Linked DNA regions of Caenorhabditis elegans. The protein of the gene in region 1 interacts with the protein of each later gene in a pairwise test. Each region holds a gene or a part of one and is shown in the gene's direction. Other genes may lie near its edges. The genes, in order: hlh-26, mab-3, zip-7 and dmd-8.

Evidence for each region.
Region 2: the proteins of hlh-26 (region 1) and mab-3 interact in a two-hybrid assay, tested with the Caenorhabditis elegans proteins (one large-scale study listed by BioGRID).
Region 3: the proteins of hlh-26 (region 1) and zip-7 interact in a two-hybrid assay, tested with the Caenorhabditis elegans proteins (one large-scale study listed by BioGRID).
Region 4: the proteins of hlh-26 (region 1) and dmd-8 interact in a two-hybrid assay, tested with the Caenorhabditis elegans proteins (one large-scale study listed by BioGRID).

Annotation. Positions count from the first base shown.
Region 1 is NC_003280.10:5,532,290-5,535,625, reverse strand, and holds hlh-26 (Helix-loop-helix protein 26), read left to right. Parts: upstream 1-1,883; 5' UTR 1,884-1,903; coding exon 1,904-2,052; intron 2,053-2,113; coding exon 2,114-2,320; intron 2,321-2,370; coding exon 2,371-2,647; 3' UTR 2,648-2,787; downstream 2,788-3,336. Other genes in the region: hlh-25 (Helix-loop-helix protein 25), read right to left, coding at 1-172, 229-386. UniProt on the Caenorhabditis elegans protein: As a homodimer binds DNA via the E-box sequence 5'-CACGTG-3'. Represses lag-2 transcription during embryogenesis via Notch signaling, in an unc-37-dependent manner. Also represses tbx-37 independent of Notch signaling.
Region 2 is NC_003280.10:9,730,511-9,738,268, forward strand, and holds mab-3 (Protein male abnormal 3), read left to right. Parts: upstream 1-1,720; 5' UTR 1,721-1,792; intron 1,793-2,901; 5' UTR 2,902-2,911; coding exon 2,912-3,054; intron 3,055-4,500; exon of another isoform or gene 4,501-4,501; coding exon 4,502-4,580; intron 4,581-5,258; coding exon 5,259-5,405; intron 5,406-5,774; coding exon 5,775-5,946; intron 5,947-6,451; coding exon 6,452-6,783; 3' UTR 6,784-7,525; downstream 7,526-7,758. UniProt on the Caenorhabditis elegans protein: Transcription factor which binds the DNA motif 5'-[CGA][TCA][TA]ACAATGT[AT][TGA]C-3', probably as a monomer.
Region 3 is NC_003282.8:16,502,368-16,507,615, reverse strand, and holds zip-7 (BZIP domain-containing protein), read left to right. Parts: upstream 1-1,933; 5' UTR 1,934-1,946; coding exon 1,947-2,063; intron 2,064-2,166; coding exon 2,167-2,361; intron 2,362-3,378; coding exon 3,379-3,486; intron 3,487-4,025; coding exon 4,026-4,163; 3' UTR 4,164-4,706; downstream 4,707-5,248. Other genes in the region: Y51H4A.935 (uncharacterized protein), read left to right, coding at 453-464, 520-654, 961-996.
Region 4 is NC_003283.11:334,100-338,257, reverse strand, and holds dmd-8 (DM domain-containing protein), read left to right. Parts: upstream 1-1,807; 5' UTR 1,808-1,819; coding exon 1,820-1,955; intron 1,956-2,111; coding exon 2,112-2,284; intron 2,285-2,333; coding exon 2,334-2,852; intron 2,853-3,123; coding exon 3,124-3,405; 3' UTR 3,406-3,657; downstream 3,658-4,158.

The DNA of each region.
Region 1 (3,336 bases):
GTCATCTTGTTTCTTTCTTCGAATCTTTTCACGTTCAGTCTTCACTTTTCTTCTTTCGGATTCAGTATCAAACTTCCGTCTTGTAGATTCGGAGAGGTCATTCGATGAGAAATTAGATTCCAGATTAACTCCAGTCACAAGTTTCACAATTCGGAAGAGAACTACTTCTTGTCTAAAAAATGAATTAGTTTAATAACTATTTTAAGCTAACAGAGTATTTAAACTTACGATATATGTTCTTCTTCTGATTTTTGAACAATCGTCTTGCATTCGTTAATCAACTCGTTTGTAATATTTCTTCTTTTCCGTTCAGAAGCTGATTTTGGAGTTTGATTGTATGGGACGGAACGATAATCGCTCATTGAAGACTGAATAACTTTTGGCATCTGAAATTTAATAATTTTCATTAATTTAAAATCAATAAGAAATGTAGAATTTATAAAAATTCAAGATGAGCCGTTAAAAAGGAATAATTGTGACAAAACAGATAAATGGGACCAAGAAAGCAGCACAAATTGATTTAGTTTAGTGAGATAACTCGTACTGTTTTTCTAGAAGTATACAGTTCACTGAATGCTTTAAAAGTAATTGATCAAAATCAGTACACTTTCCTGATGTTACAATTATCAAAAAGTATACTAAACCAGCAGACCAGTGATCCACTAAGAAAGTAAATGAACAATGAATAAATGGTTACCTTTTATAGTTCCATTATTGTTCAGAGGGTGGAGCTTTGTATCAAGCGTTTGGAGCCATGGGAATTATTCTGAAATCTCTATTTTTACAGTCCCCATCACGGGTTCCCATGGTTCATCAGTGAGGTTCTCATGAGAACGAGTCAGGACATCTCCAGTTTTGCCACGACTGGATATTGATTGGGTACAGCCTGGGAAATTTCGGCGGAGACTGTGAATTGACATTAACCATTTTTATCACTCATTTAATCAGCTTGCCTAATCATTATTTGTCTTTAATTCGCAAAGTTTCCAATATTCAAGATCTGATTCTAATAAAAATTACCAGATTGATGTATATGATAATGCATAGAACATACAACTACCAAATTTTACGGATTCATTCAGTTTATCACTCAAATATGGCAGTTTTTCATTTTCTGAAAATAATAAGCCAGTTTAATTTTAACATATAACCTTACTGATTTTGAGAACTCCGGTTTGCTGGAAATGCTCACACAGCAACAGAAAAAATTCACACCGGATACATGTAGGTGCCAAGTTATAAGAAAAGTGTCACACGCTGAGATGGAAACCTCGTAAATTAAAAATAAATTGAGATTTTTTTAAACTTGGATATTGTTTTTTAAAACATTTCTAGAACAGCTTGATATAAATATTTTAAACTATCATGTAAAGGAAAAATACTATAACCTAATTCATGTATTTGATTATTTGAGTTAATTAATATGCATTTTTATTTTAAATATTCTAAATTCTTCTTTTGTATTATATATTTACATTTTTAAATTCCATCGAGCTCCGATTTTACCAAATATTCATTTCAGGATTATTTTTTCCCACCAATCAATAACTTCGTTCAGGTTGTGACCCTTCGCATTGCTTGGGTTCTCAGGCTGCCACGGCAAGAACTGGAGATGTGGTACTCGATGCACCATGAGAACCACGCGTAATAAAGGTATGGATATCAGATTCCCATGATATTCCAAACGATGAGAATCCCCGCCTATTGAAGAAAAAACTCGAACATATAATGGAAGGTAGTCATTATGTTTTTGCATACTTGAACTGTAAGGTTGGTTCTTTTCAACGTTTTCATAAGTCTTTAATTTGAACTGCCTTTCATATTTTGTAGTCTCCCTATTACGGTTTTTGTCTAATAATCTTTTGTTAACTATTATTATTATATTTCAGATCCTTGACTCATAATGTCTTCCTCTCCAACTTCGTCATCATCTGGGTCCCCTTCTTCACATGGACATCGATCTGAAACAGAAAAACAAAGAAGAGATGATACTAATGATCTGTTGAATGAATTCAAGAAAATCGTTCAAAAATCGGAATCTGAAAAACTTTCGTAAGTTTTCTACTATTTTATTTAAAAAAAAAAAACGTACTCTCAACTAATGTCTATTCAGAAAAGAAGAGGTTCTATTTCGTATTGTGAAATTGTTATCTGGTATTCAACTTCATCACGAATCGTTTTCAACATCGCCTGGACCAATTAGAAGTATTAAAAAGATTAAAAGCGATCGGGAACAAGTTCGCCGAAATAAGAGAGTTGCCGCGTACAGAGAGCTCAGAAAATTTATTGCATTGAATAATTTGAGTAGCTCAGAAGAAATGTAGGTTTTAGATTTTATTGGCCATAAATTAAAAAACACGTATTTTTCAGAGACAAAATGGAGAATTTGAAGGTTCTAGAAATCATCTTTGAAGTGATTCGTGGAAAGTCGATCACATGTACAGTACCTTGCCTACCATTTCCAATACTTCCTTTTCTCCCAGTATTCCCAGTTTATTCGCCATTAGTTTTCAATTCATACAATCAATTTTCACTTTATCCTCCTCACATGCCTACAGTTCAGATTCCTATTGTCCCAAGTTCCAGCTTCGAAATTGACGCTCTGGAAATAGAAGAAAATGAGAAAGATATCGATATTGTTGGCTGAAGAGATTCAGCTGAAAATCGTATTGGTCTCCAATTTTTTTCAACAGTTTTCAACATTATTTAGACATCTTTTGCATCCCGATTCATTGAAAATTAATAAATTTAAAAAAGTAACATCAAGATAATAAATTCAAGTTTAACACACAGCAATATTGAGATTTTCAGCACAGTGTGCATGATAATTTGAACAGATGCGTAGCAATTGGAGAAAAATTATAGAACTGAATTGCGTTCTTACCAGGACTGTGCGGCAACCGAGATTTAAAGAAATTTCGGCAACCGGCAATTGCCAAAGTTGCCGAACGCTGAAAACTTCGGCAGCCAGCAACTTCCGGTTGCCGGAACTTCGGAAACTTTTCGGCAACCAGGTTTCAAAGTTTTTTTTGTCGAAATTAAATTTTTGAGCGTTTTGGAAAAATGTATGGTCGTTTTTTTCGTTTACAGTGAAATTCTAGCTTTTTCAGGCTCTCTGCATGTTTTTTTTTGAGTTACAAAATGTTTGACGTTGATATGGACAGTTGCCAAAGTGCCGAAAAAAGTTCGGCAACCGGCAACTTGGTTTACGAACCCTGAAAAATAAAGAAACTGTGAAAGAAAATTCAAAAAATGTCAGCACAACTATTAAAAATAAACACTTGGAACACGTGTTCAATTTCTTTGAATTGAAAATATAAAAACCATTTAATAAGA
Region 2 (7,758 bases), 4.2 Mb from region 1:
ACCCTCGAAATAGGCTCCACTTACGCAACAAATCGTTCTCTTATTTCGCTTCGATCGACCACCAGTATTTAAAAGATGGGTGGTCTAGATCTCACAGAAACCTGCACTATTTCAACAAGATAAACACGACGGAATGTTCGTTCACTCTCACACTTCAGCCGTTTTTTTCCTACGAGCGAAACAATCAGCGGGGCGGGTAGTGAGCGAGTTGAGACTGTCTAGACTCGATGTGGTGATCTCTTTGGAGTACAGAGAATGTTCAGAGTAAATACAGTCCATTCGGCAACATTTGAAAACAAGAATTTAGTCAAAATTTATCAGCAATTCCTTTAGAAAGTTGGTTCTCAAACCTAAAATTTTTTAACGACATTTATAAAGTGGAACTGGAAATATCTTTGGTTCGGGAAAATTTGAGAAATTTAAATTACTGAAACTTTAAAAGTCATATTGAAAATTGTTATCCATTGCAGGTCAATAATTTTTGACTGAAACTTCAAATCTTGGTAATTGAAAAACGGTTTGACTAAATAGTGAGTCACTAGAACTTTGACAGTTGGTAAGACAGTTTTCAACAAAACTATTACTTTTCAAAGTTTTTGGTAGCTTCTCTCGAAAACATTCCTAATATATTTTCAGGTCCAAATCAACCTTTACCAAAAATGTTTCCTCTGTAATTTTCTTGTCAATCCCACTTTGTTTCTACCGCTTCTTCTCCTTTCCATTTCGAGGACACAGTCGAGATCAAATGTGTGCGTTGAAACTGCCAATTTTCATTCTCTCTCTGCTAACTGAACACAAGACCTGAAGGTGCTCATTAGGCGAAATTGAGAAATATTGGATTACTGTAGGCTTAGATATGTAATCAATCTGAAACTGGTGACGCGGGTGTTCAGAAAAAAAATTGTGGTTGGGTTGGGGGGTTAAGATTCAAATGAAGAAATGAAAAAAGCTAGTAAAAGCTGAAAGAAAGTACTTAGCTTATGAATATTAATTAGGTCACATGGGAGCAGTTATGAATTTCCAGTCCTAATTTTTTCTACAGCCCGGTGCCGGGATCTTGGCCCTATGGACTGAAAAAAAGCTCAAGAATTGTATTTTTCCTCGAAAAAAAAATATAATTAAGCTTTCTATATAGGCTCCAAGGTTCCAACTTGTGGATCCATAATTCTAGACATAGTTTCAATTTCCTTTAAAGCAAGGTAGGTCACATTCCAGGAATGTTTAATAGTTTTCTAAAATACAGAAAAGTCTAGAAAAGCCTACCCAACGAATGATAATAAAAGTTCGAACAAAACCTATAAAAATTGAGTTACAGGAAATAAAATAAAAAACTAAAAGTTTGCAATTTTCTCTCGTCTCTTCTCTTTCCATGATCACACGTACTTACAGGTGTCCCCAAAAAACGCAGAGATCACACGATTCGCGGAGTGTCAGCCAGAGAAAAAATATGTCGTCGCGAGAACTGATAGCGGTGTCCCCCTCCACCGCCATAGTCTCGGGGCGCCGCTCCCTCCCGATATATGTTTGTCTGGCGTCTCTTACCAGGTTTTCTCACGTTCGGCGTTCTCTAATTATCGTCGTGTGAGGTCTTCTATCCAATCGCGGGTGGCATCAGTCGCCAAAAAAGAGGCGGCGCTTCGTCGCCGCGACTCTTTCTTGCTGGGACCCGCCCCGTTTCACAGGAGGGGAGTGCCTATTACTCCCTCTTTTCCTTTTCTTTTCGATATTTGAATGCTATCGGTGCTCTAGGAGCTCGATCTTGACCCCTTGTTGGAGGAAATTGTACTTTTGGGTAGGTGCTTCCAGTCGATTCAGAATAATTTTTTGGGGTTTTTGAAAACAGTAAAATTATGTGAAAATGTTTCCATCTTTGCGTCTACAATTTGTGGCTGACTTTCCTAACAGTCTACTCTTTGAAATTTTTGAGAAAATGGCTTAACAAAAACTTGAACATTTGATCTGATGTACATTGTAGAAATACTGTAGCTCCTGACTTGTCTGTTTGTCTTGGTTTTAGTCTCTACAAAAAATTATTTCTTGATAAAAACCTCTAATTGATTAAAAATTGAACCTTTTGTAACACGATCAAATGTTGCCAGTTGCAATTAATCGATTTTTGTGATTTTATAAAGTTTGCAGTTAGGTTTGAAAAACTTCAAACGTATTTTATTTAGAAATTTATTTGCTCTTTTTTTCCTTCAAGTCAAATAAGCAATACGGTTCTGTAAATTAATAAAACTTTGTTGCCATTAAATATTGAAATTCCATGTATATCCGTTCTGAAAAATTCTTTATAAGAAAAAATTTCAAACTGGTTTTTAACATTTTTAACTATTGCAGGTTTAAAAACATACAGTAGCCCAACTTTATTCCACATTTAAAGTCACAGAATGAGCCCAACGTTGAATTGAACATTTAGATTATAAAAACGTATTTTATATATGTTTGAGCTATCTGTAATTTTTGAAGAAAAAAAAACTGGTTTCAAAGCTCTCTAAATTTTCTGTTTTAAATTCTCAAAATTCTTAACATTATAGGAAAAGAAAATTTTTTTACTTTACTTTGAAAATTTTTTTAATCCGAAAGATATACACTGGAAACTAGAAAAGATACAGTATTACAAAAAAAATTCGCATTACCAGCTGCTCCTTTAAAAAATTGAAAATTTGTTCCGATGCAAAGAACAATATTTTTGGCGAAAAAATGTTCTTTCTCACAAAAATCAGTCTTGAAAATTTGACTTTTCCACGACATTTTCAAAATTTCGTAATTATTTTATAAGTCAAGATTAGAGTATAGCAGTTTCATATAATGCTTATAGATCCCTCTTTTTAATTCCCTAATTAAAAATAAAAATTTCAACAAAAACAACTAAATTCATAATCTGAAAAAATTTTGCAGAGGAGCTCTAATGCTCACCGAGGATCCCGTATCGGAGATTTGTGAGGCGAAAGCAGTCGATGAGCTCGCCGAGCAAGAAAAAAATTATTATTGTCAGAGATGTTTAAATCATGGGGAGTTGAAGCCAAGGAAAGGTCACAAGCCGGATTGTAGGTGAGCAATGGTTTTTTTTGCATTTTTAAACTACATTTCATCTGAAAACTATTTTGTCATTCCATGTTTCTCCCTCATTCACCCTTAATTATATACATCACGTTTTAATGCTTAAACTCTTGAATTTTTTGATAATTTTGGGTCTTGCAACGATAAAAAGTTAACAACTGTTTAATGAACTTTTTGTAACTTTTGTTGTGCCGAAAAAGTATGTAGTTTATCCATAAATACTCCAAATTCCAAATTTTATCTCAAAATTGTCGCGTCACCGACCTTATTCACCCACCATCAGTTTTTTTTTTCGCGAAGCCCTCCGACAAAGACACCCGTAAAATTTGAGATGTTCGTCTACCGATTACGATCGGGCAAGAAAAGACGCAAAGCAAGAAAAAACAGCTGACCTTGTCGATTTAAAGCGAAAAATACCACCCATACAGGTGAAATTGTTATTATATGAGTGAGGGGGGTCAAAAACGAATTATTATATGGACGCGAAAAACGGAGGAGAAGAATGGGAAAATGCAAAGAGGCAAAAAGTTATGTTTTATACATTAACCTAAACCATTTTGAAGGTGGTCTAGGGATACTGTAGATGTTTCACCAAGGTGAAAGATGACTCAAAAAGATCTTGCAATGACGACAATTATCACTAAGCTAAATTGAAGATGGATTAGCGAAATCTGGGAAACATTTTAAAATGACTACAAGAGTTTTTTGAATACCTATGTGAAATTTTTTTAATTCCCTGATTTCGCTACTACACATTTAATAATATGTATATCAAGGTGTGTTACTCTTTTTAGGTTTTTTTAAACGCTCGTTTAAAGAATTTGTACTTCTCTGGTTTAAATATCCAAAACTCGCCCGAAACGACCGAATTTCATTATTAGGCTTTACAAAAATAATATCTATCCGGTTAAAAATTAAAAAAAAAACTAGTGAAATTCTGCCAGCTTCTTCTTCGGTCGATCATTTTTTCCAATGTTTAGATAAATTCAAAAAAGCGCTTCTTTTTTTTCGAGATATGTTTGGGAAGTTACATCATGAATTTTGGTTGTTTGGGATCAGTTTGAGACAATTCAAGCAACTAAAAATTTTTCAGCCTTTTTTATTATTTTTTTTGGAACCGAAAATTATTAAAAAATTATGTTTGCTTTTCATTCAAAAATCTTCATTCATTTTTTGACATCCAATCACACAGATACACTCACTTTTCAAACAAACCATTCCACAATGACCTATACAGTCGTAAAATTCCTCACCCAATTTTTTTTTTCTCCCAATTTTTTCAGTTCATATAATTTTTAACAAAAGATAGGGCCTATCTCTATTGTGAAAAGTCTAATAAAATATTTGAATGGGTGGGCGGGTTACTGTACAACTACAAAATTCTCCCGTCGATGACACCAAGTGGCACTGAAAAATAAACAAGACGAACATTTTACAGATATCTAAAATGTCCATGTCGAGAATGCACGATGGTCGAGCAGCGAAGACAGTTGAACAATTTGCTAAGCAAAAAGAAGGTGAGTATTCTATAGGGATTCTATGGTAGGTGTGGCTGTAGGTGGCTGTGCCTTACCTCATTCCTGTCTGCCTACATTTCTGTTTCGCGGTGTAGGCGGTCTTGAAGGTTGTATGTGCGTTCTCACGCACTTAAATACCACATCTTATCAGTTCACCAAAAAATCGCAACTTCAGATCAAATCTGACATTTTCAAAATGAAAAGTGGGTTGACGTCTTGGCTTTTTTCTCTTTTTGTAAGAAAAACAATTGAAGATACGAATAGATAGAGTGTGAAAAGCAAAGAAAAAGTGAGAAAAAGATTGATTTTATCGGATTTTTTTAAGGGTAGGTATATTTTTCATGAAGTTGTTCTTTTTCAAAAGGGGCTCTTGTTGTGGCAAGTCACATATAGGTCATTGCCTGGCCATCTATAGGCGTACCTACCTTATTGTTTTATTTCAGTTATTTGTTGAAAGTGTATTTTTAAATGAGAAAAATGCTCACTTTGGACCATGGGTATGCGTGTAGGTATGAGGCAATTGTAGGCTGCATTGACTGCAAGCATTCTTGAGCCTACTGAAAGTTTATACCGAATTTCTTGGTTATTGTTTTTGTGATTGCATTAACTCCTATAATATTACTGTGAAAATAAAACACTTTTTAGCGGGACCCCTTATAAACCTTTCCAAATTTCCAGATCCACTGCACACCGGCAACTCAAACCCGTGATGGGAAGCGTGTCCGTGACCCACACTGTGCTCGGTGCTCGGCTCACGGAGTCCTAGTCCCATTGCGGGGACACAAGCGGACAATGTGCCAATTTGTGACATGCGAGTGTACATTGGTAAGTGTAATTATACTGTCATCATCGGCAGTCAGGCGCCCTTGACAACATTGCAGTTTTTATGCTTTTCAATGTCACCTGCGCGAAGAAATTATAGGATTATAAAAGTACTGTAGGGAAATGGGGGAGTGGCTTGCCAATGAGATTTGAGAATGTGACTTTTTGAAACATTTTGATAAGTTTCAACTATTTCGAAGTATTTTTAATGCAACAGTGCTACGAATTGACTTTTTAAAAATTGTTGTGGAGCAGGCAACTTGGAGCATGCTCTTGGACTGACAGAGAAAGTTGCCACATTAATTTGTGTGAGATTTTTGAAAACGCGTAAACAGAACTACGATTTTCGAGTTTAAAAATATTATTTTTCAGTGTACTCTTGTGGAACACCGTCGAAATCTTATGGCGGCTCAAATCAAATTACGCAGATCACAACAGAAATCCCGAGATGGTAAAGAACCAAAAAGGAACTCTCGTAGAAAATCGAAAGATATGGATATGGAGATGATGGTTGTCACAGCTACAGATGGTCAAAAGATAATTGGTAAGCTATGGGATTTTGTAGAAGTGTGTAAATTGAGCTTTAAGTCAGAATCACAAAAATTGGAGTCTAAACCTGAAATCCAGTCGGAAGTAATTCTAGAGTTGACGGTACGTATTAACGTTATCAGAAACATAGATTTTACCATCAACTCATAGATTATATAAAATGGCTACTTGTTATTTCCAATTTTTCGTACCGAAACAATCAAATACGGGAATATCCAAACGCATCAATAAACAATTACGAAAGTTAAGAGGTTAATTTCAAATATGTCTAGAATCTCAAATTGGTACAACTTCTCAGTTATAGAATATGTCTTTCTGCTTACCTATCAGGCGGGCCCTGCCCTGAAAGTTACTTTGCCTTAAAGATAATTACCACTTAAGCCAATGTATTTTCAAAATTCAGGGGAAGACAAAAAAGTGGTAATTTTGATGCAAATATCAACGCAGACAGTTAAAATTTATATTGTAGCTTCAAAGAAATTAAATCTATAATATTCCAGGAACATCAGCAAGTCCATCTCCATCCTCAACCACTGATACAATGTCCCCATCCCTTTCAATGTCTCCACCATGCTCTCCATCTCCACTTCTGGCTCAATACACTCTGACGCTGGCTGCTCCGATTCCAATCTATCCGCCGATCCCAATGAATCAACAATTGATAAGCTTGCAACAACAACAGTTCCTGATGAGCATTATTCAAAATATGGCTCCATCAATCGGACAACAGGCTCCACTCCTTCCAGGCATTTCTGCAGGTTCTGTCTCATCGGCAGCAATTTTGAATGAGTTCTGGAGTATGTATCTGAAAAATTATGGTCTGCAAGCCTAAGATCTATAATTTTGACCAATTATTGATTTTTAGAAAAATTGTATGTTTCCCTTCTTTGCTTAATTTTCCACACAATCTCTTTTTATCTTTGGTTTCAAACTCAATGATTTTTTCATATTTTCTTGAATTTTCACTTTTTACCAATTTTGTTATATTTTCTAATTTTTTCATTCATTTTTCACCAAGTGAACCAACCAATTTACCGATTTTTTTCTCGTCTTCAAGACCGCTTGTGTTATTCCAAAAATCCCCATTTTTTTTAAATTCAAATAATCTTTTCGTCTCTCACCAAACCACATACTATCTTTCTATGTCTCTTCGCCACCTAATCATGTCATCAATTTCTTCGAAAATTCCCAAATTTCACCGATATTCTTCCGTTTGCATCGATTTCCCACTGTCCCCGCCCAAATTGAGCTGAGCTCCGCCCACACTTTCCCAGGATTACTGTATTGTTTCTCGCTCTGCGTCTCTCATTCTCGTTCCCTCTCTCTTTGTTTTATCTCGGAAAATAGGATCAAATCCTAAACAGTTAACCGGTCCGTTTTAGACACCCCCGGTGGTAATAATTTTGAAAAAAAGTGAAATCATGTTTTTTAATGTTTTGGTTTTAAAAAACCAAACATTTTTTGGAGAGAAAAATGTATAGAACTTCCAAACATACAAACACACGACGCATCGAGTCTAATAATTATTGATTTATTTTTATTATTTTTGATTTTTCAATAAACTTTTCATTTTTAAATCGTCTTGGTTCTGTATGCAAACTTGATCGTACAGCAATTTCCAGAAAAAAAGTTGGCGGCCGAGCTTTCTCTTCCGCGGCCATGTAGAAACCCATAGACAAGGTCTTAGCACGAATGAAACTTTTCCGTTACCGTACCATAGGGTATTTCCCAATTTCTCCTGTTTCAGAAAACATATTTTTTTTAAATTTAAACTTTCGTTGCTTCTGAGTTTTTAAAAAGTTTTATT
Region 3 (5,248 bases), on another chromosome or scaffold:
TTCCACAAATTCGCAGTTGACAACTTTTTCCAAATTTATCCGGAACCAAGATAGACGTATTAGAAGTTGGTAGTGGCCGAGGTTTTTCACCTCCACGGCCACAAGGCCAACACCCCCCAACTCATTATACCCCCGTGGTCCTAATGTGGTAACGCAATAATCTGTGTGTGCGTATGTTCAAGTACACATACCCCAAAAACTTGCGTAATTTCTTTGAATTTACCGCTATTCTGACATACGGAAATTTGAATATTATCGGGGGAAACGCGTGAAAACGTATTGAATGGAAAAAAATGTTGAAAATAATTTTAATTTTTTCGTGAAACTGGGAAATAATTTTCAAAAAAAACGTGTTTTTTTTTCAAAGTCGCCAACTAAAAATCAATAATCGAAAAAATCAGTTTCGAATTTTGTTTAAAAATTCCATTCCACTGAAACGAAGAAGAAGCCAAATGATTGCACAAGTCAGTTTAAGCCTGCCTGCCTGCCTGCCTGCAAAAAATGCTCCGAAATTTACAGCTCGTGCTTCCAATTCTTGTGATTTTCGGATCTCTGGTGATGAATTGTGGCGGAAAGAAGAAGAAGTCAGCAAATTCTCCGGAAGGAACAAATAAATCAAAGTTAGGGGCTCCAAAGGAGAAGAAGGATGAAACTGTGAGTTGTGTGACCGCGACGCGACCGCAACGCGACCGCAACGCATTGTTTAATTAATTTTGCTGATTTGGGATACGTACCACAGGTTTCTGCCTTCCCTCCTATTCTGAAATGTAAGAGTTTTGCCGAACTAGGCCATTTTGGCTCAGTAGATTTACGGGGCGTTGCGTGTCGCGTCGCGGCTCGGATTTGTCCGTGTGAAGTACACGACACTTTCCCACGCGTTGTCCGGCAGGCGATTGTCAATAGAGCGCGAATAATGCAATGAGGAAGGTCCTACTTTTAAAGAAACAATTCTGATTTCAGGAAGGCAACTACGAGGAGCTCGCCGTGCCACAATAATTTTCAGGATTCTCATTTTTCACTTGAATAAACCAGTTTTATTGGGATTTTTGTGTTAATTTTTGAATTTTTGAATTGGTGCCTGTTTCATGTGAAGCATTTAACAAGTGGAATTTACAAGGGAAAATTGTTAGCAAGTTGAAGTACGAGCGTTTTTTACAGAAGAAGTAGTATCTCCTCAGCCATTGTAGCTATCAAAAAGTTGTCAACTGGGAAAATATTTATAAATTTATGTTGAACATTTTTTTAGTTGGCAACTTTTCACTAGCTCCGATACTTTTTCAGTTATGGTAGTTTTTCGCGCAAAACTCCAACTAAAATTACCGATTTTTAAGTTTGAAGGCTTATATCTCCTTAGCTATTGAAGTTATCAAAAAGATTTTAACTATGAAAATATTGCAAAATTGATTTTAAACATTTTGTTGGTTGACAACTTTTTATTAGCTCTTACACTTTTCAAGTTATGCCCAGTTTTCCCCACGGAACTCCAAGACATGCCCACCTATTGCCACCTCGTTATACATTTAGGACCACCACCAATCTCTTTTGCGGTACATTATTCAACTAACAGCAGACGGTAGTTAGTTAGTTAGAGAACAACGACGCAACGATTGCGCCATTACAGTTCAAATCATCATAAAAAGAGCCGCCCGTCTTTAGAGACCCCGTGGGCAAATGGGGGAGGAGGCGGGTCTAGTAGGGCCTGTAGAGGTGTCCTGTTTGCGTGCAGACTTTTTCTCAGCATGCGGTAGCTCATAAGTTCCGGTGTAATAGTTTGGTAACTGTTGAGTAATACGGTTTTGGTTTTGAAAATTTAAAAAAAATTCTGTTTCAAAAAAATTTGTTTTATTATAATTTTTTTCAACTTATTACTGTGTTCTTTGGAAGCTTTTTCCTAAATTTCTAGCCATTTTCCACCAATTCTCCACCAATTTCCAGATTATTTCCAGATGATGACAGACATTCAACAGCAGCTGGCTGCCTCGAGAATGTGTGATTCGGATTCTATAAAGGCATTCAATCAGATGTACGCACAGAATCCGTATGGAGCAGGAGCTTTTGATAAGGTTTGTAATTTTTTTTGGAATTTTTCTGAAATTTGAAAAAGTAAAAAAATTTTTTTACTGTTTCAAAAATGCTTTTTAACAAAAAATTAAATTTTTTTCTTAGAACTACTCCGCAGCCACTGCTCTCCCATTTTTTGCTCAACATTTCGCGCCATACGCGAATCCCCATGCCACGTCATCTTTTTCCCCGTCATCGTCTTCCACGTCATCCACCACGTCGTCTCAAAATCAGCAGAGTGGCAGCAGTGGGAGTAAGAAGAAAAAACCGGTTCCGGTGCCGGAAAATCAAAAGGATGAGGTAAGAGATTAAATGGCCGAGAAATGAGAAAACTCGGCCACCAGAAAAAAACGGCCGATCTGCTAGTGTTAGATGTGGCCGAGAAAAAATGGCGGCCGAGGTTTCCTGGATTCCTTCTGCCACAGGGTTCTGGTTTTCCTCATTGAATGTTTCGCGCTCCATTGACAATCGCCCGCCGGACAACGAGTGGGAGAGTGTCGTGTACTCCACACGGACAAATCCGAGCCGCGACGCGACACGCAATGCGACGTAAATCTATCCCAGATATGGCCGAGCCAAAATGGCCTAGTTCTGCAAACTCTTCCATTTCAATTTATGAGGCCAGAAAACCGTGTTCTGCTATGAAAATTGAACTGTTTTTTTTAATTTCCGCTGGTTTTCAAAGTGGTGGCCGAGTTTTTTCTCTAATTTCACTGCCACGAAGTTGAAAAATTGATTTTTTTAAACTGAAAATAGAGTTTTTTTCTGATTTTTCAGTGAAAAAACGTTATTTTGGACCAATTTTGCTGATTTTTCTCGTATTTTGCATTTAAATCGAGATAAGTTGACAATTTTAATGTAAAATACAAAAAAAATCAGCAAAAAAGATCCAAAATAAAGTTTTTTAGCCGTATTTTTCTTAAAAAGGCGTATGAATTAAAAAGTCGTATGAATTTAAAAAGTCGTATGAATTAATAGCTAGCCACGTGTCGATTTACGGAGGCCGTGTACTCCTCGTGGAGTTGATTTCTCTGGGTTTTCGTTTGAAAAAAGTATTTTTATGCCAATTTTGCTGATTTTTCTTGTATTTAACGTTTGAATCGGCAATTTTTGAGTTAAAAACTATAAATTATGTCATAAAATGACAATTTACCATCAAAATCCAACAAAAATCAGTGAAAATTGGCCAAAATCAAGCTTTTCAGCCGTTTTTTTTTCTTCAAAAAACCAGTGTAAACTCTTCCACGAGGAGTACACGAGCTCCGTAAATCGACAGCTAATAGTCCAAAATCCTCTCGAATAAATCCAATTTTCCAGGCCTATCTCGACCGGCGCCGCCGAAACAACGAAGCCGCCCGTAAATCCAGAGAATCTCGCAAGAAAGTCGATCAGGACAATAGTGTTCGTGTAACATATTTGGAGAGGGTACGTTTTCAAAATTTCCCATAGATAATAATCCTTTGCATCATTTTTTTTGGCGGGTTTTTTTTTCCAAAAAAGGGCTTAATTGATGACGTCATCAGTCAACAGGTGTCAGCCTGGCTACGCAATAACTTTGAGAACGCGCCCACGCCGACTTTTCCCAATTTTTCAATAAATTTCGGGAATATCAGATGGCTTTTTGTAGATAACCGACACTTTTAAAAGTACTTTTTGATAGTTTTGCAAACGCGCTCTAGTGCACACGTACAGTAACGTTTGTTCCCTTAATGGTGTTCCACTTTTCGATATGTTCACCAAGAATGGTGTTGGAAAGATTTGTTGGTTTGGAGCAGTAGGTAGTGGACGCAGTTCGGTGTGAGCACTCGTTGGATCAATTCCAGGGAGTGGCTTTTCTTTTTTGTTTCGTTAAAGTTTAACTTTACTTTTTTTTCGGACTAAAAATAAAGAGTAACTCTGATAAAAGGCTTAGTTCTGACGGCATAAAATTTTTATCAATCAATTAATAATTATTTTTTCTCCAGGAAAATCAATGCTTGCGAGTCTACGTCCAACAGCTCCAACTACAAAACGAATCGATGAGACAACATTTGCTCCTGCAAAATCCGGGCACTATAGACACTATGGACCCGATTGCCATGGCGAATATGCCGAGTTATTAAGCTTCTCCCCTCCCACACAAAATCATCTCATTCTTGCACACACATTCAAATCCTTGCTTCTGTATCGAATTTCCACACACCACCCTCTCATTGCGTCACTTTTTTTTTGTAATTTTCTGTAAAAATATAGCTATTTTTGAAGAAAAATGCATTTTTTCAAAAAAAATAAATGAGCGACTACGGTAAGCAATTCCGAGTCTGCAAACACCGTCACGGCAGAATGCACAGAAAAACTCATTTTCAAATTATTTTTCGCTCAGTTTTCGCTAATTTCTCCGAATTTTCGCGTTTTTTCTTTAATTTTTGTTAGTTTTTGATTGTATTTTGTCGATTTTTCACTCTTCGAAGCTGTACCGACTGTAATTTGACACTTTCCGCACGAAAAAATGAGAAAAATCTCAGAAAATAGGTGTATTCAGATTTTTCCCCATTTTCCTCCGATTTTCTGGGCATTTTCTGGGCATGTTTTTCAAGCTAAATTCGCTGATTTTCGAGCTAAAGCAACTTTAAAATCCAAATTCTCTAATAATAAAACAGTTTTTCAGCTTACTCGACTTTTTCCCGGAAATTTCTGAATTTTGCTCATTTTCCGAGGTATTCGTGGATTTTCCTCCCGCTTTTGACCAGAATTAATGCTGAAATTCAATTTTTCAGCTAATTGTACCCTAAAATTGGACGGAAAAATGATTTTTCCATTATTTTCCCGGCAAAGCATCACCTGAGTGATTTTTACTACTTTTTCGACGGAATATATAACGTTTTCAGTAATTTCTCGTTAAATTTCCCAAAAAACTCGTTCAAAATGCTGGAAAAAGTCGAAAAAACTCGAAATTCCAAGAAAAACCAGTTTTGAATATTTTCCCGGGGGGTACGGTAGATTTCGTCGTGTGCAAACACCGTCACGGCAAATTGCACAGAAAAACTCATTTTCAAATTATTTTTCGCTCGTTTTCTCTGATTTTCTGCATTTTTTCATTTTTTCTATAGCTTTTTCATGATTTTTTCGGGTCTAAACATCTAAAAATCACTAAAATTGCATAATTCCGCCGATTTTTCAGCGCTTAGAATGCATTTTTCAGCAGGAA
Region 4 (4,158 bases), on another chromosome or scaffold:
GGAGTGCAGGTTTTTTTTGGAAAATAAAAAAATGTAACTTCATTAATTTTTTCCAAGAATTTTTCTTATGGGTTGATTTTTTTCAGGCTTTCTACCTACCTCCAAGAAATCTTGTTGCATTCTATGTTTTCCTATTACCCCTATTCCACGTGACAAAATATAGATTTCCCCGGTGGGAGCAAGAATTCTTCAAAGATTACGGTAGAGCGTCTAGACGGTGGCAAAAAAACAAAACTTGTCGATCAGAAATGAGCATTTCCCAAATGAGCATAAACTAGTATAAAACAACTAGTTCCTACATGTTTTAGTATAGTTTTTTTAAACATTTTTTTTACTGGAAAAAATGTTTTTTTTGTGCAGCCGACAGTGATCGAGGACGGTACAGAATTTTTTTTTAACCTTGCGTGTAAAATTTGGTGCATTGGAGTCGGTGAACGAGGCTTTCGGGCTTGCTTGCCAGGCTCCTTTTCAAATTTAGATCGAATTTCATTGTTTAGAAAAAACATTTTAAAAAATTATTCCATTATTTAGAAAAAGAAAAAAAATCATTCAAAACAAAAAAAGCATGATAAAGGCAATCACAGAAATGGATTTAAATCGCCTAATAATTCAAACACAAGGGCTAAGCAATGCGAGAAAAAGATTAGCAATCGTCAAAATCCGCTACAGATTTTCTTATATTTTCCACACAAAATTTGAAACCACTCTGAGCGATTGATTTTCGACACAATTTGTCATCCGATTTGTTGAAACTTCTGAAAATCTTTTTAGTTTTAGTGTTTTTTTGTGGTTGTTATGAAACATTTTGCAATGATTTTCAGCTTGCTCAACTTTGAATTTTCCAAGGTTTCGTAGGCGTAGACCATAGGCGTAGGCCATTAGCCATAAGTGTAGGTCATAGGCGTAGGCAGTAGGCGTGGGTCATAGGCGTAGGCAGTAGGCGTAGGCCATAGGCGTTGGCCATAGGTGGAGGTCATAGGCATATGTCATAGGCGTCGGCCAGCAAGTTTTTCAAGTTTTAAAAAATTCGAGTGTTTTCAAAACGAGATGAGCACCACCTTTTTGTGAACAAAATGAAATAAATCGGCTTTTAGTCCAACTGCTCAGTTGCTCCATACTGATCCGCGTAAAACCCCGACCGGATTGCCCCTCCTTATCTACGCAAACTGCGAATCTACGTAATTTCCCCCATCGACATGAGAATTCCGTCATAGCTCCGCAGAGCCAAAATAGAATGTTTACGGCGAATTTTCTCGAATGAGTGGGGAGGGATGGCGGAGACGTTAGACATGGTTAGACAGCAATCAGGGATATTCAAGAAAGAGGCGGAGCCGGCAGATACAGAAAATCTTTCATTCCTGGATTGAAGATGGGAAAGGCGGATGAAATTTTATTTATTTATTTCGATTCCATTTCATTTGTGAATTCATTTCGATAGCTTTTTTGCTCCAAGGGGAGCTAGGTTACTGTAGATAAGGGAAATTTTTGGTGGCCGAAGAAAACTAGAAAAACTTCGGTCACGCGCCCAAGCCTCTACAACTTCCTGTTTTGCTTATGCTTTCCCTGAAAATTTCTCTGAAAGCATCGTCTATATAGCCCCCAGGGCCTTATCAGGCGACTAGTAAAACATGTCACAAGATTTTTTTTCAGACAAGTGACTGAAAGTACTGTAAATATTCCATTGACGCAGTGTCTATAAAATTTCAGCCAATCAGGTCATCAAGCTCAAGCATCCCTTATCTTGTAGCCCTCACAATTTCATTTTGTGCTTCAACTTTTCCAACTCTTGAAAAATGGAAAATTTCAGACTTACCTGATCATGTCCTCATCTTCCCTGTCATCTTCTTCAAATGCCTCATCGCTCAGTGCTCCAGAAGGGCTTTCACCAAACAACAGCCTCTCCCCGGATGTTGGAGCACAGAGATTTTTCAGCCAAGGGAAAAGGATCCCGAAAGGTGAGCTATAGCTTCTTAGCAGCCGACAGTTAATTGGTTTCACGAGAAAGGGTCAGTAGAAAAATGTATGGTTGGTTAACTGTCGGCTGCTGATTTTTTTTCAGAAATTAGTATGGCCTACGCCTAACATAGTTTTATTTTTTGTTAAATTTTCAGATGTGAAACGGCACTGTGGAATGTGCAAGCAGCATGGAGTTTTCGTAGAGACGCGCGGGCACACCTGCGAATATAGAAGTTGCGAGTGTGAGCAGTGTGACTTGGTCCGTAAGCGACGGGAGATCATGTCAACTCAGATTCGTCTCCGACGAGAGCAAGACAAGAAGTTCCAGGTACCTTGTGATTTTTTTCCTAATTTTCCTAACTATCCCCGTGTTTCAGCGTACCAATGATATCAGCGAGGCCAACGTGTTCCCAGGCTTCACAGGTGGGGAGGCAGATGAAAAAGCTGTCATGGAGAACATGAACATGTGCTATTTCTGCCAAAAATGCAAGAATCACAATGTGCTCGTCTGGAAGAAAAATCACAAAAAGGAGTGCCAATATTCCAGCTGCGAATGCCAACAGTGTAACTTGATTGATTCCCGTCGTGCCCTGGACCGGCATATTAAGAAGCGAAAAATGAGCATAAAGGGCAACACGGTTGAAGCTATCGCACCGAAAAGTCCCAAAAAAGAGGGCTCCACCACGGCTTCATCATCGTCACTCTCATCTTCTTCGGGCTGCAATTCGGACGAGTCGGCTTCATCCTCGGATTGCTCGCTATCTGGAATGCTATCAGAGAAGTTGAACATGGCTCCGCAGGTTCAGATGAAATTCGACTTCAGTGCCGGGGGATTTATGATTCCTGCAGCGACTTCGGCAAATGCAAGCACTAGTCCGGCTGGTTCTCCATTTGAGGTGAGGTTCAGATTTTCTGAAAATTTTTTCAGGTACAGCTTGAACCTGAAAAGGCATGTGGGCATGTAGGCATGTAGGCATGTAGGCATGTATGTATGTAAACCTGTAGGCATGTAGGCATGTAGGCATGTAGGCATGTAGGCATGTAGGCATGTAGGCATGTAGGCATGTAGGTATGTAGGCATGTAGGCATGCACTAGTCTCGTCCTAAAAACTGCTCTAAAAGGTTTTTTCCAGAATTTCTAAAATTTCTAAATTAAATTTTTTTCAGACAACATCTCCAATGCCGCTTCTCCTTCCGCATTCACCAATTGCTCTTCCACAACTTGCTCCATCAAGCCTACCGCTTTCATTTCTTACCGTACCCTCTCTCATGTCCACCGCGGCCTCACCATTTTTCACGGCTCCGCTTATGTACGGAGCTGCTCCAACTCTTTTCCCGAATCCTCTCCTGATGACCCCTATCGGAATGCAAATGTTGTTCCAGAACTTTCAAAATTTTCAGAATATCCGTGAGCTTAGCGCTGCAATTAGCTGCGCTGAAACCGATTGATTTTTCTTTTTAATTTTTCAAAAAAAAAAACAATTTCCAATCTGTGATTTATTGTCTTTTCCCTGTAAAACTCTAGTTCCTTCCCAGTTGCACCTCAAAAAGAGTAAAAACCCCATCGAAATTTTAAGCTGTGCGGGTTTTCAGTTCAAACATGATGATAATAATATTTTGATGTTTTTGTGTTTTATATTTCCAAAAACTTTTTTTTGATTCTGCAAAAGTGATAAATTAATAAAATTGTACTCTTATCAATTTATGACTCGACTAGAAATTGAATTATAAAGTCACGGTTTTTACAGAGAATTTTCCGAATTTTCAGCCACCATATCTGGAATTAAGCTTGGATTTAGAAATTTCACGGCCTTTTTTGCATAAAACGTCAGGAAGCAATCCCATATATTAAAAAAAAACTAAATGTTAAAATTCAAATATATATTTTGTAGAATTTTTTGTAATTTTTTTTCAAATTTTGCTATTCCAAAAATAAGCTTTCCGGCTAAATTGAGCAGTTTCACTTTTTTTGATTTTTTATTTGAGACGTGATCTGTCAAATTTGCATGCATTTTACAGCAAAAAAATTAATGTTAAGTTCAGGCCAGTTTTAGAGTTTCACCCAATTCCTTTCGGCCTGTCAAGTTTCCTTTAATGACAATGGTTGAAAATTTGAAAAAAATGGCCGAAAAATTCATTTACCAGTGAAATCTCACAATCAGATTTTTTTCAATTTTTGAAAAATTTAAAATAAATCTTTAA